Sus scrofa: one gene and its partners. The protein of the gene in region 1 interacts with the protein of each later gene in a biochemical or structural test. Links are inferred from orthologs where the notes say so. Each region holds a gene or a part of one and is shown on either strand. Other genes may lie near its edges. The genes, in order: RAB5A, APPL1 and CHML.

The links.
Region 2: the proteins of RAB5A (region 1) and APPL1 form a complex in vitro, tested with the Homo sapiens proteins (2 studies listed by BioGRID and IntAct, with this or other methods). The link is inferred for Sus scrofa from reciprocal best matches to the Homo sapiens genes RAB5A and APPL1.
Region 3: the proteins of RAB5A (region 1) and CHML form a complex in vitro, tested with the Homo sapiens proteins (2 studies listed by BioGRID). The link is inferred for Sus scrofa from reciprocal best matches to the Homo sapiens genes RAB5A and CHML.

The regions. Positions count from the first base shown.
Region 1 is NC_010455.5:6,907,938-6,911,688, forward strand, and holds the start of RAB5A (ras-related protein Rab-5A), read left to right. Parts: upstream 1-1,042; coding exon 1,043-1,205; intron 1,206-3,751. UniProt on the Homo sapiens protein: The small GTPases Rab are key regulators of intracellular membrane trafficking, from the formation of transport vesicles to their fusion with membranes.
Region 2 is NC_010455.5:39,088,073-39,091,823, reverse strand, and holds the start of APPL1 (DCC-interacting protein 13-alpha), read right to left. Parts: upstream 2,668-3,751; coding exon 2,614-2,667; intron 1-2,613. UniProt on the Homo sapiens protein: Multifunctional adapter protein that binds to various membrane receptors, nuclear factors and signaling proteins to regulate many processes, such as cell proliferation, immune response, endosomal trafficking and cell metabolism.
Region 3 is NC_010452.4:11,834,477-11,838,227, forward strand, and holds the start of CHML (rab proteins geranylgeranyltransferase component A 2), read left to right. Parts: upstream 1-995; 5' UTR 996-1,390; intron 1,391-3,751. UniProt on the Homo sapiens protein: Substrate-binding subunit (component A) of the Rab geranylgeranyltransferase (GGTase) complex. Binds unprenylated Rab proteins and presents the substrate peptide to the catalytic component B.

The DNA of each region.
Region 1 (3,751 bases):
AGAAAGTAATGACACCTTTAATTGTTAGCCTCAAAACTACAAAAAAGTATAAGCAAATAAGACACCGATGAGCTCACCATTTAGAGAACTACTGTTAATACTTGCATGTATGATGTACCTGAGCACATGAGAAAACAGGTTTAAGTCCTTTAGCCACCAGCCACACAAACCTGAGAGACTTAGAATATTTGTTGCTCCAGAGTTAATTAAACAAAAAAATGTACCATTAAAACAAAAAAAAAAAGTGCCGTTTAATCTTCAAATAATGATGGTCAACATTTATTGAGATCTTAACTGTGTTCTAGAATTTTACTTAAAACTTTTAACCTAAGTGTAGTTCCAGAACCTGAATTCTTGAGTCATCTCTCAGGTTGCCTGGGTTCGAAACTCAGTTCTGTTGAAGCTCTGTCACAGTAACTATATGACCTCAGTCAAGTTACTCAACCTCTCTGTGCCTCTTTTCCTCATTTTTAAAGATTGTAATAGTCAACTTTATGGGATTGTTGAATGGCAGTATTAAGTACTTAAAACCATTGGACACAAAGTTGAGTCTTTAAGAAAGGTTAGCTTTAAAATTTTTTTAGAGACTTGAAAATTTTAGGCTCAGACCTTATGCCTTTGCATTATTTTCTTTTCATTCTTTTCTTTTTTCTTTTTGACTGCACCTCCACAGCTTGTGGAAGTTCCCAGGCCAGGGATCAATTCCATGCCACAGCAGCAGCCCAAGCTGCTGCAGTGACAATACCGGATCTTTAACCTGCTGCACTGCAAGGGAACTCCTACACTATTTTCTTAACAAAGGGAGAGAATTAAAGTAAATGGCATTCAGTGTTCAGTAAAGGTTATAATTGTCATACAATAATATAGCCAAAATTTACTACAGTGATTAATAATTAGATTTGTTTTGCTGATTTGTATATTTAATTACTTAATATTTGTTTCTTTTTAGGTTTCTTTACCTCCAGAAAGAAAAAAATTGTCACCTTGCATCCTGGAAGTTCATATAAGAGACTGAAGTTAGGGACTTGTTTCACATTTGGACATGGCTAATCGAGGAGCAACAAGACCCAACGGGCCAAATACTGGAAATAAAATATGCCAGTTTAAACTAGTACTTCTGGGAGAGTCTGCTGTTGGCAAATCAAGCCTAGTGCTTCGTTTTGTGAAGGGCCAATTTCATGAATTTCAAGAGAGTACCATTGGGGGTGAGATTTTCTTTTATCCTTTCTTAATTTAATTGAATCATACATTGACAAATAAAATTTTGCAGTAAGATGATGAGTACCTAAATAGATCACAGTGAAGAAAAGACCTGTTCAGCAGACTCAAGCTTTATGACTTGATTTTTATTAATGTTTTTTAATATTTGAGTTCCTGGTTATCCATGGGATGGTTGTATGGAAACTAAAATATAGATGCAGACATGAGTAGAATCAGTTTTACAAGTGTAGGATTTGATCTGTTGTTTTTCTAGATAATGATTAGAAGCTTCTTCAGATTAATACGTTTATGCTGAATTATATTGTCTTTAGAATAAATAGTGAAAATAGGAGTTCACGTCGTGGGGCAGTGGTTAACAAATCTGACTAGGAACCATGAGGCTTCGGGTTCGATCCCTGGCCTTGCTCAGTGGGTTAAGGATATGGCGTTGCCATGAGCTGTGGTGTAGGTCTCAGACGTTGCTTGGATCCCACATTGCTGTGGCTCTGGTGTAGGCCCGCAGCTACAGCTCCAATGAGACCCCTAACCTGGAAACTCCATGTGCTGCAGGAGTAGCCCTAGAAAAGGCAAAAACACAAGAAGAAGAAGAAAAAAAAGAATAAATAGTGAAAATAGTAAAAGTCAGTGTTAAAATTCTAATTCTAAATGGACTATTTATAAGTTACGATTATTTGTAAAATTAATTAAATTTTATTAAACCCGTTTAAGAATTCTAGGGCAAGGGAAGAGAAAAAGTGATCGATGGAGACAGACTGAAAGGGAAGTGGGGCCTGGAAAGAAAGATGAAAGAAGAGGGGAAAGAGGTGGTTGTAGCTAGACTGAGGTGAGGGGAGAGGGAAATGCAAGACAAAGAGGAGACAATTCACAGTGCAGCATTGTCAGTAGAAGACAAGAAGTTAGAGTGTAACCAAAGAAATACACAACTGTATATAGCAGTGCAGAATAGTCTCATTTGGCCTCGAGACTCATCTGTCAAATGATGCTTTTGAATTAGATGATGTCCGAAGAAACACAGTTTTAAGACTTACAATATTTTGTAAGGAAGGGATGTGTAATTAAGCAGTACTATATTTTTTCAGGTGTTCATGAATATACTTCATACTTTTTAAAAAATCAGACTTTTGAAATACATTAAGACAGATAGCCATGGGCATATAGCAACTCTTTGGAGTCCATATCTCAGAAACATAACTTTATGCTGTGCATTGAATGTATGTTCTCAAGTACGTAATGCTTGAGAATTTATAGTTTCAGATCTTCCCAGTAAGATAAATTATAGAACTCTGCTGTCTCCTGGCTTTTCCCTACATATAGAAAAATATACCAGATAAGTGGTGTTTTCCCTAGATTCAGCAGTATAATAGTGGCTGTCAACCCCCTGCATTTGTATATCCCATTGCCGTGTGATCCCCGTTTAGTTTGTTTTTATAGTAGATGAGCATTAAAAATATATATAGTCCATATGGCACAACTTTTATTTTGAGTCAGAAATCTTGATATTTTAAAAAATTATAATGAACAGCATATCACACATTCTTTGTGATTTCTTTGGTAATACAGTTGTGTGTACATATATATATATATCTGTTTTCGTAATGAAATATTACTTCACAAGCTTTAGTCTCCTTCAGAAAACAGATTGGGCCAAAGCTATCTAGCCCTTATAGTGGAAAGAGTTTTAAAGACCTTAAGGTTATATCTACCACCTTAAACTGGTGCAACAAATTAGTTATTATAACTGTTTCTTGGCAAGTGATTGTCAATTGCAGCATTTTCCAAAGTTCATATGCGCTATAGGCTAAATACCCAGACCAGATATGTTTGAGACTTGCTATGTGCTTACCTCCTTGCTTCATAGTACATACTAAAATAATAAAACACCGAAGTACTATAGTAAACAATTCAATTCCTGGGAAACTATGCAGGAACCTACATTAGAATTTTTGTTTTTGTTTTGGATACTCCCAAATTATCTTCTAAGTATATTTTTTCCTAATGACTTCTCAAGAAAGACATTTAAAAGAAAAGTTTAACTCCTTATCAATGCATCATCACAAAAATACTCATATCCTCTGATATGTGTGTTGGGGGGGTGTATAATGAGATAGTTGGAATCTATACATACATATATATAATCTCCATTTCCATTTAATATCAATTAGAGTGTCTGCATTTCATTAGGAGACTGTCAGAGGTTTTCATTCTAACACAAAACTTCCCTAATATTTTCTACTTGTACAGATTGAGTCTGACTTTTTAAACCAACTTTAAAAGAAATTTATATCCAAATTTCTATGTTAATGGTTGTTGGATATTTGTTCACTATGTTGACCACATATTAATACCTTCAGGAGGTATGATGATAGTGTCATGATAACAGCTGTGAGCCTTGGTTTTTTGTTTGTTTTTGAGATATAATTGGCATAATACTGTGTAAGGTATAAGACATATTGATTTGATTTATTTACAAAGTGAGCACTGTTTTAGGCTCTTTGCTAGCAACTCTTCACTGTTAAGGACTAGAGAAGAT
Region 2 (3,751 bases), about 32 Mb from region 1:
TTTTAAAGATCATATCCACTCCTACTAATTAGAAAGTATCATTTTGTTTCTGGTTTTCAGAACAATATATAAGCATGGACAAGGCATCTAGTACAGTTTTAAGATTTTCTACTTCCATAGATGCTGACTTCTGCAGAATGGTACGGTTTGGGCAAGATAATTCTAAAAATGTTTATGTTTGATCAGCTGGATTTGAACTTGCAAATATACTCCTATTTTAATACTTAGTTCTGTAAATTAAAACTAAAAAAGGATAAATGTAATCCAGGGTAGTCTTTCATGACTCCCAGGCTCTAATTTTTTACATAGCAACTCACAGACCACTTTTGATTAGGATCAGATAATCTAATCAGAAGCTTTAAAAAGTTTTCCTACTCTTCGTTATTAGTTATTACGCAACTTCTTGGACTCTGTCCTAAATAAATAGTTCAGATGAGAATAAAACCTTATGTCCAGAAGTTTTAATCTCAGCCCTATATATAAAAGCAAAACTTGAGGAAAACTCTCTAAGACCAACAATAGGACAACTGACTGAAAATAGTCAAGGAAACATGCAACTTTTAAAATTTTTATTCAGTTTGTAATAATGTATGAAGACACTTAAGCTACAATGTTAAGCCAAATAAAAATTGTTATGCATAATATAATTTCAATCACATTAAAATGTGTAACAGAAAAAAACTAGAAAAAAGAAAGCAAACTGTTAACAGTTTGCTGCTGGGTACATGACAGGTAACTTCTCTGTACCTTCCAATTTTTCTGAAGTAAACAACTATTATTTTTATAATCAGGTACAGGGATTAAAATACTTACTATCTATATAACAGCTGCGGTTCAGAGAAGTTAAGTGACTTGCTCTAAAACAGAAGGTATTAAGTGGCAGTAAAGACTAAAACCCTTATATCCTGAATCCAGGGTGTTCTATTTTGCCCCAAGAATTGCTTCCCTTTCTAAACCACAGCCGTCCCAATTAATTTCCCAAATAAATATTAAGTTCAAATTTATTATTCCTAAAATTAAAAGAATACCAATGTGGCTATCTCATTAAAAATTACCATAAAACTAATACCAATATGGCACATGCTTATAAAAGAAGGAAAACACTTAATGCTCAAATTGTAAACTAATTGTGTGAAGAGTTCAAGAAATTAGATGAGTCAAGAGATTACACCCTCCTAAGTCATGGCTAGGGCACTGTGCAACCCATTCTGAGTAGTCTGTAGTCTTTATGAGCTATAAAAACCAGGCCAGGTAAGAGAAAAAAGGCAAGGCAACCTGTTGAGTCTTATAAAATAAAATGACAAAGTGCACCTGACCAATACATCCCATAAAATTTCTGCTAAACATTTGAAACAAATGTAGCTTATAACTTTATACTACAGAAATCATGAAGCATTTGAACCATCTATTCTGGAAGTCAAGAAGTGGGTTTCTCTCTGTCAACATAGGCGGATAAGAGTACATTACCAGCAGTCAACTGGTCTGTGAAGATAACTTTCGCTGTGAAAAAAACAAATCAATTCCACAATCAGAACCCAACTTCAACTTGGCAATCAAAACTAGCACAATATCCATGGCAGACGTATCATACAGGAAAAGGGGGATCTAGTCCCTTCCTCCCCTTCTTTTCGAGTCCTATTAAACTGTCAAAGACTCGAGAAATATGTGCAACTGCAGTTCTAAGGGAACAACATTTCAGAAAATTTTCTTCATTCTAAGTGGTAGCCAAACAGCAACATCATCTTAAACCCCTACTGTGTAAGAGACAGGCCTAGCGATAAGTTTCTCAATGCAAGTTACAGGCCCCACCAACATAACATGTTTTTACTATAGCTGATTTCATTCTTCAGTACCGAAAACATTAAGTAATGGTTATGTTTTCCTAGATTATTTTAAACTACAGCAACCGCACTAGCATCATCCCCAAAGCACAAAACACAGGGCTTTTATTTTGATGAGTTGATTAGGGCCAAGTCTGCAACGAGGGCGCAGCAGTGGTGGAGCCTCAAAGGCGCCGTCCATCACTCGGCGTGCACAGCCCGAGTGACAGCGGCTACACTCACCGCCAAGACACGGCCACGGGAGGCTCTGGGACCCGTGACCGGCTTTGCCCTCTCCACACCGGCAAATCAAGAGTCTTTCAGCATCTCCCCAAGAAAAACTATCCATTTCCTCCCCTAGCTTGGTCAGAAACCATGAAGTCTACAGGGTCTTTTCTGCATTTTCTCCGAGGAGGTTTTCGGGGGAAAATACCAGTATTGAGATTTATCACCTCACAAGACGGCGACAAAAAAGCACCTTCTGTCAAATACAAGGGAGCCCCGAGGGCGTACGTGACCGCCGGGCCCACGAGCCAAGGCGACGGCGGCTCAGTCGCTGCCCGCGGACGTCCCAGACCCCGCGCGCGGCTCTCGGCTTAGGGGCGCAGGCCGAGACGGGCCTCGGGAGGACGGCTCTGGCTCGGCGGCTCCGGGCGCGGCCCGCGACCAGCGGGAACACTGGGGGACGGCGCCCACCTGGACCAGGGCGGGCACCTGCGGCCGCGTAGACGCCAGGCCTGGGGTCGGCCGGCCCCGCTCCTTCCCTCGCCGCCCGCCGCTGCCCGCGCCTTACCTGCGGGCTGTCCTCCAGCGTCTCTTCGATGGGCAGCTTGTCGATCCCCGGCATCGTGGCGGAGGGAGGGAGGGAGGGAGGGCGGCGGCAGGAGACGCGGCGACCGCCCACAGCTCCCTACGCCCGCCTGCCTTCAGCAGCTGACCCCGACCCGCCCTCTCTAGCTGGCTCTGCCGCCCTCGCCTGGCGCCCAGAGGCCTCGCGGCGGTGAGGGAAATCCCGCCCCCTTGGACTGCCTGCCCCACCTCCCCACTCGCTTATTGGTTCGCGGCGATGTCGGTCAGCGTGGGGGGTTGGAGGGAGGCTCCCCCGCGTTGAGCTCTGCGCAGATCACGGGCCTAGGAGACAGTGGAGTCGGTGGAGGCGGTAAAGGCGGCGCTGAGGGGTCGAAAGCGGAGCAGCTTGCACACCTCGAGCACCTACCCTGGCTGCTCGCGTAGGGGTGTGAAGTGTAGTAGACAGTCTTCCCCGTGCGTCCCTAGGAACCTAGAGTGAGGACCACAGTCGGGAACCTAGGGCAGTTTTACGTATCCCCCACCATTTTTCATCAGAGACCATGAAGGAGGCCTCACTGCCGGCGCCTTCTTTAGTTTCCTTAAATTATAATTTTACAAACCCTGCCCCAAGCTTCCAGTCTCCCTTCTCCAACAAAATGGTGCTGGCTAACTCAGATGTCTGGGAGATCTGAAGTTGTGTCAACCTGACTTCCCGGTAATTCTTGGACAGTAGAAAAGATTTTTTTTCTGGGCACTTGGGTATCAGTATTTTCAGTTAAGAGCACGCCTTTGTTGCTAGTTCATCGGTTCTTACCTGGCCTTGAGAGGCTGACACGCCGCAATTCAGACTTTATTTATTTACTTTTTTAATCACAAATGAAGGCATCTCTTGAAAATCAAGGTACACTGGTTTATTATGTTAATAACTGATTCGCATTTCTGTTAAAGTTTTGGAAGAATCTTTAGATCGCTTCTTCAGCCTCTAATTTTTTTAAAGGAGAGAAAAGTGAAGCTCCACTCTAGAACTTGATCTGTATTAGATCTGCCTCTTTATCATTTTTCCCAACCTCACACTGCCTTGTTTGTTCTTCTGTAGGGTTATAAGAAGCCATACAGATTCTTTTAGAAAAATCATTATACAG
Region 3 (3,751 bases), on another chromosome or scaffold:
TAAATGGTTGTATAAATCTAAAATATAAAATTAGAGTTTTTAAAAGGACTGGGTGGGTGAGTCCCCTAGAGGACAAGTCCAGATCGGAAGCCTTAAGAAAAAATCACCAGCTATTGCTCCATGCACCATGATAGGAAGTAACCTTGTCTTGACAATTAGATTATATCTCCAAGGCCCACAAAACCGGGGTTCAGTGAAGCTAGCAATTTTCTAGGGATCTTCTAATGGAGGTGGGAGACACACTCCCTCGTGGAGGGCAGTTCCTTCGCCCTTGCACAGGCACAGTGCTGGCCAGCGGCGCCCAGGACAGCCTGTAGGACCAGCTCAGGACTGTGCACCCCGCAAAGACTACGGTCAGTTCCGGGACCTATGCTTGCCTTGCCCTCTATTTTCACTGGGTAAAAGGCCAGAGGTGCTGCCCCAGGTATAGCACCCACCTCTCTGCAACTGCGAGATGTGGGCTGGAGCTCGAGGGCGCCGCCTCAGTCGCCACAGCGCCCCTGCATGGAGGACAGCAAGGGCAAAATGAGCAGGCCTGGGGTGCAGCCGGGGCTTACCTCAAGTGTGCAGTACGCGAGCGGGTAGTAACAGCTTCCCGGAGAGGGAGAAGCCAAAGGATCCTGCCATAAATGGTCCTTAATGAGGGAGTGAGTGGGGAAAGAGGAGAGCCCTTCCAGCTGGGTGAGGAGGGCTGCGGAGAGAGGAGCCCCCGGCGATGCTTTGCCTCCAGGCCCCCACGGACTGTGCCGGCGGTGGCGGGTTACTGGGGACCTCAGGGCGTGGGGAGAGGACCCGGCGAATCAGGAAGCAGCTTGGACAGCGAGCAGGGGAGGGGTTAAGGTTGGGAGGTGCTCCGGGGCGGGGCTACAGGGCGCTAGGGGGCGGGGTTACGGCTGGGAGGGGCGTAGGGGCGGGGCTACAGGGAGGGAAAGGGCGGGGTTACGGTAGGGAGGGGGTAGGGGCGGGGCTACAGGGCGGGAAGGGGCGGGGTTACGAGCGGCGTCAGCGGTCTGCGCAGGGGCAGAAAGGGGCGACGGGGACCTCTGAGTGCGCAGAGCCCCGCGCAGAGCCCCAACCAGAGCGGTGCGCGCCGGCGCCTGGCGTGCACACCCAGAGAGGTGGCGGGGCGGCGAGGGCGCCGTGGGGCCCTCACGCCGCCTATCGGGGCGACTACGGGTGCGGGGCACTGCTGCGCCGGAAGCATCCTGCTGCTGCTCGTCCTCTACTTCAAATTCCAGCGGCTCCGCAGCCCCGCTTCGCCGGGCGCCCCCTGCTCATCGTTAGCCTCCGCCACCTGCTGCCTTCCGTTCTCGCGGCCGCGGTGGCTTTCGCGCCCCACAGAGGGGCGGCGCGGATGGTGCGTGAGACGGCTTCATCAGCAGCCTGTAGGGTGAGTGCCGGCGGAGACCGCCTCCTTCTGCGCCCCGACCTAGAGGCTGTGCTCTCCTGACCTCGCCTCCCCCGCCTCGACATCTCTTCCTCCGGCCTCCCCGCCTCACTTCATCCGCTCCCAGACCTCACTCCCTCCACCGGTCCTCCTCGCTCGCTGATCTCCGCCCCTCCCCGTGCTCCCAGGCCCCTCGCCCACCCAGACCCCAGCCTGCTGCCGCAGCTCCTCAATCACCTGCTCGGGAGCTCATCTCACTTGTCTGCTTTCACCTCCTGATTTAATTCAGTAGGGCCCGAGACAGTGGTTTTGACACTTTGAGGAAAGAAACGAGAGGGTGAAGTCAAGAACTTCAAGAAAAAAAGTGGTAGTATTTGTGAAACTTGGAGAGGGTGATGAGAAGTGATTTAATTCATATATTATTTTGCTAAAATGAGAGGTAGAAATCTGACATAGCAACAATGTGTAAATTTTTTTTTAAAATGCTCATTATCAGTTGTAAACCTTTGCTTTCTAGGAAGTGAAATAGTTTTATTCAGGTCCTCAGAATGCAAATTGTGCTCTATAAGCTATTTTTACTATATTTTCCTCCTTATAGGTTCCACCACACCAAAATATAAGGCGAGATTGCAAAAATGGCTCAGAGAACCCCTACTGAAATGGACAGATAATTAGCTATGCAGCCAGTAGATTTCATTAAACTAGAACTTGATCGTTAATTGAAATTTTTTATTTTTTTATTTTTTTGTCTTTTTGCTATTTTTTGGGCCGCTCCCGCGGCACATGGAGGTTCCCAGGCTAGGGGTCTAATCGGAGCTGCAGCCACCGGCCTACGCCAGAGCCACAGCAACGTGGGATCCGAGCCGCGTCTGCAACACCACAGTTCATGGCAACTCCGGATCGTTAACCCACTGAGCAAGGGCAGGGATCGAACCCGCAACCTCATGGTTCCTAGTCGGATTCGTTAACCACTGCGCCATGACGAGAACTCCCTGAAATTTTTTAAAAAACTACTCTTACTCCTATTGAAGATTTAAATCTCACTGAGATTGACATTTCAAAGGACGAGCTACCCAACGTGTCATTGAAGATGTGATTTTTCCAAGCTTGGGAAAGAAACTATTTTTGTGTGTGTGGTCCAGAAGTTTCACTTATACAAAGATTTGAAATAGAAATGTATATTTCTCAGGTCGTAAGTTTCCTTTTAAAAAGTCCTAAAATCCCTAATAATTTATTACTGCTTTTATCTTAACAGGTTTAGAAGAGCAAAACCTTTGTAGCATTATCAAAATATTGATAATCACTAACCTATGTGGTAACAAACTCAAATATTATGTATGTTATGATTCCTTAATACATACCTACATATATATTTTTTTTTTTCTTTTTTCCCTTTTTATAGCTGCACCTGTGGCCTATGGAAGTTCCCAGGTTAGGGGTTGAATCAGAGCTGCAGCTGCCAGCCTACATCACAGCCAGGCAATACTGGATCCAAGCCTCATCTGCGACCAGCACCACAGCTTGCAGCGTTGCCAGATCCTTAACCCACTGAGCCAGGCCAGGGATTGAATCCGCATCCTCACAGACACTACGTCCAGCTCTTAACCTGCTGAGCCACAATGGGAAGCCCTCTTTTTTTATATTTTGCAGGAAACAAGAAAATGTCGTAGAAATCATAATTTCACTTATTTGATGGCCTCAGTGATTCTGATATTCTAATAATACCAACCCTTTCCCAATAAACATTAATCTGAGAACTTCAACTATATAAGACTTGAAACCTGGGAGGAAGCTATAGGTGTGTGTAGGTGTTGCTATAGATGCAGTAGATTGCACTCTTTATATTAATGTCTGATGCCTGCCGGCAGTGTTCAGGCAAGGCTGAGGTTTAAAGAGGGCCGTTCATGCAGAGCCTGACATATCCTCAGTGGCAGATACTGGGTCACAGACGTGAAAGTTCTGATCTACAAGAAAGACTTTGTGCTGGTAAATTCTGTTTCTATTCCAGCTCCGTGCCCGGGAGCTTGGAGACGAGTGTATTGGGGTCTTTATTGGTACCAACGTCCCCCTCTTCCTCATCCGTTCCATCTTGCAGCCCCACCCTGATGTGTCTCCTCGTCTTTTCCATCCTTTTTCTCTCTCTCATCATCCCTGCTCTGGTCCCACCCCAATCAGAAGGAATTTTCTAAGCCAACTAGAAAATTGTGGCTCGCTGGTAACAAACCTGACTAGTATCCATGAGGATGCAGGTTCAATCCCTGGCCTTGCTCACTGGGTTAAGGATCCAGCGTTGCCGTGAGCTGTGGTGTAGGCTGGCAGCTGCAGCTCCAATTCAACCCCTAGCCTGGGGACTTCCATATGCCA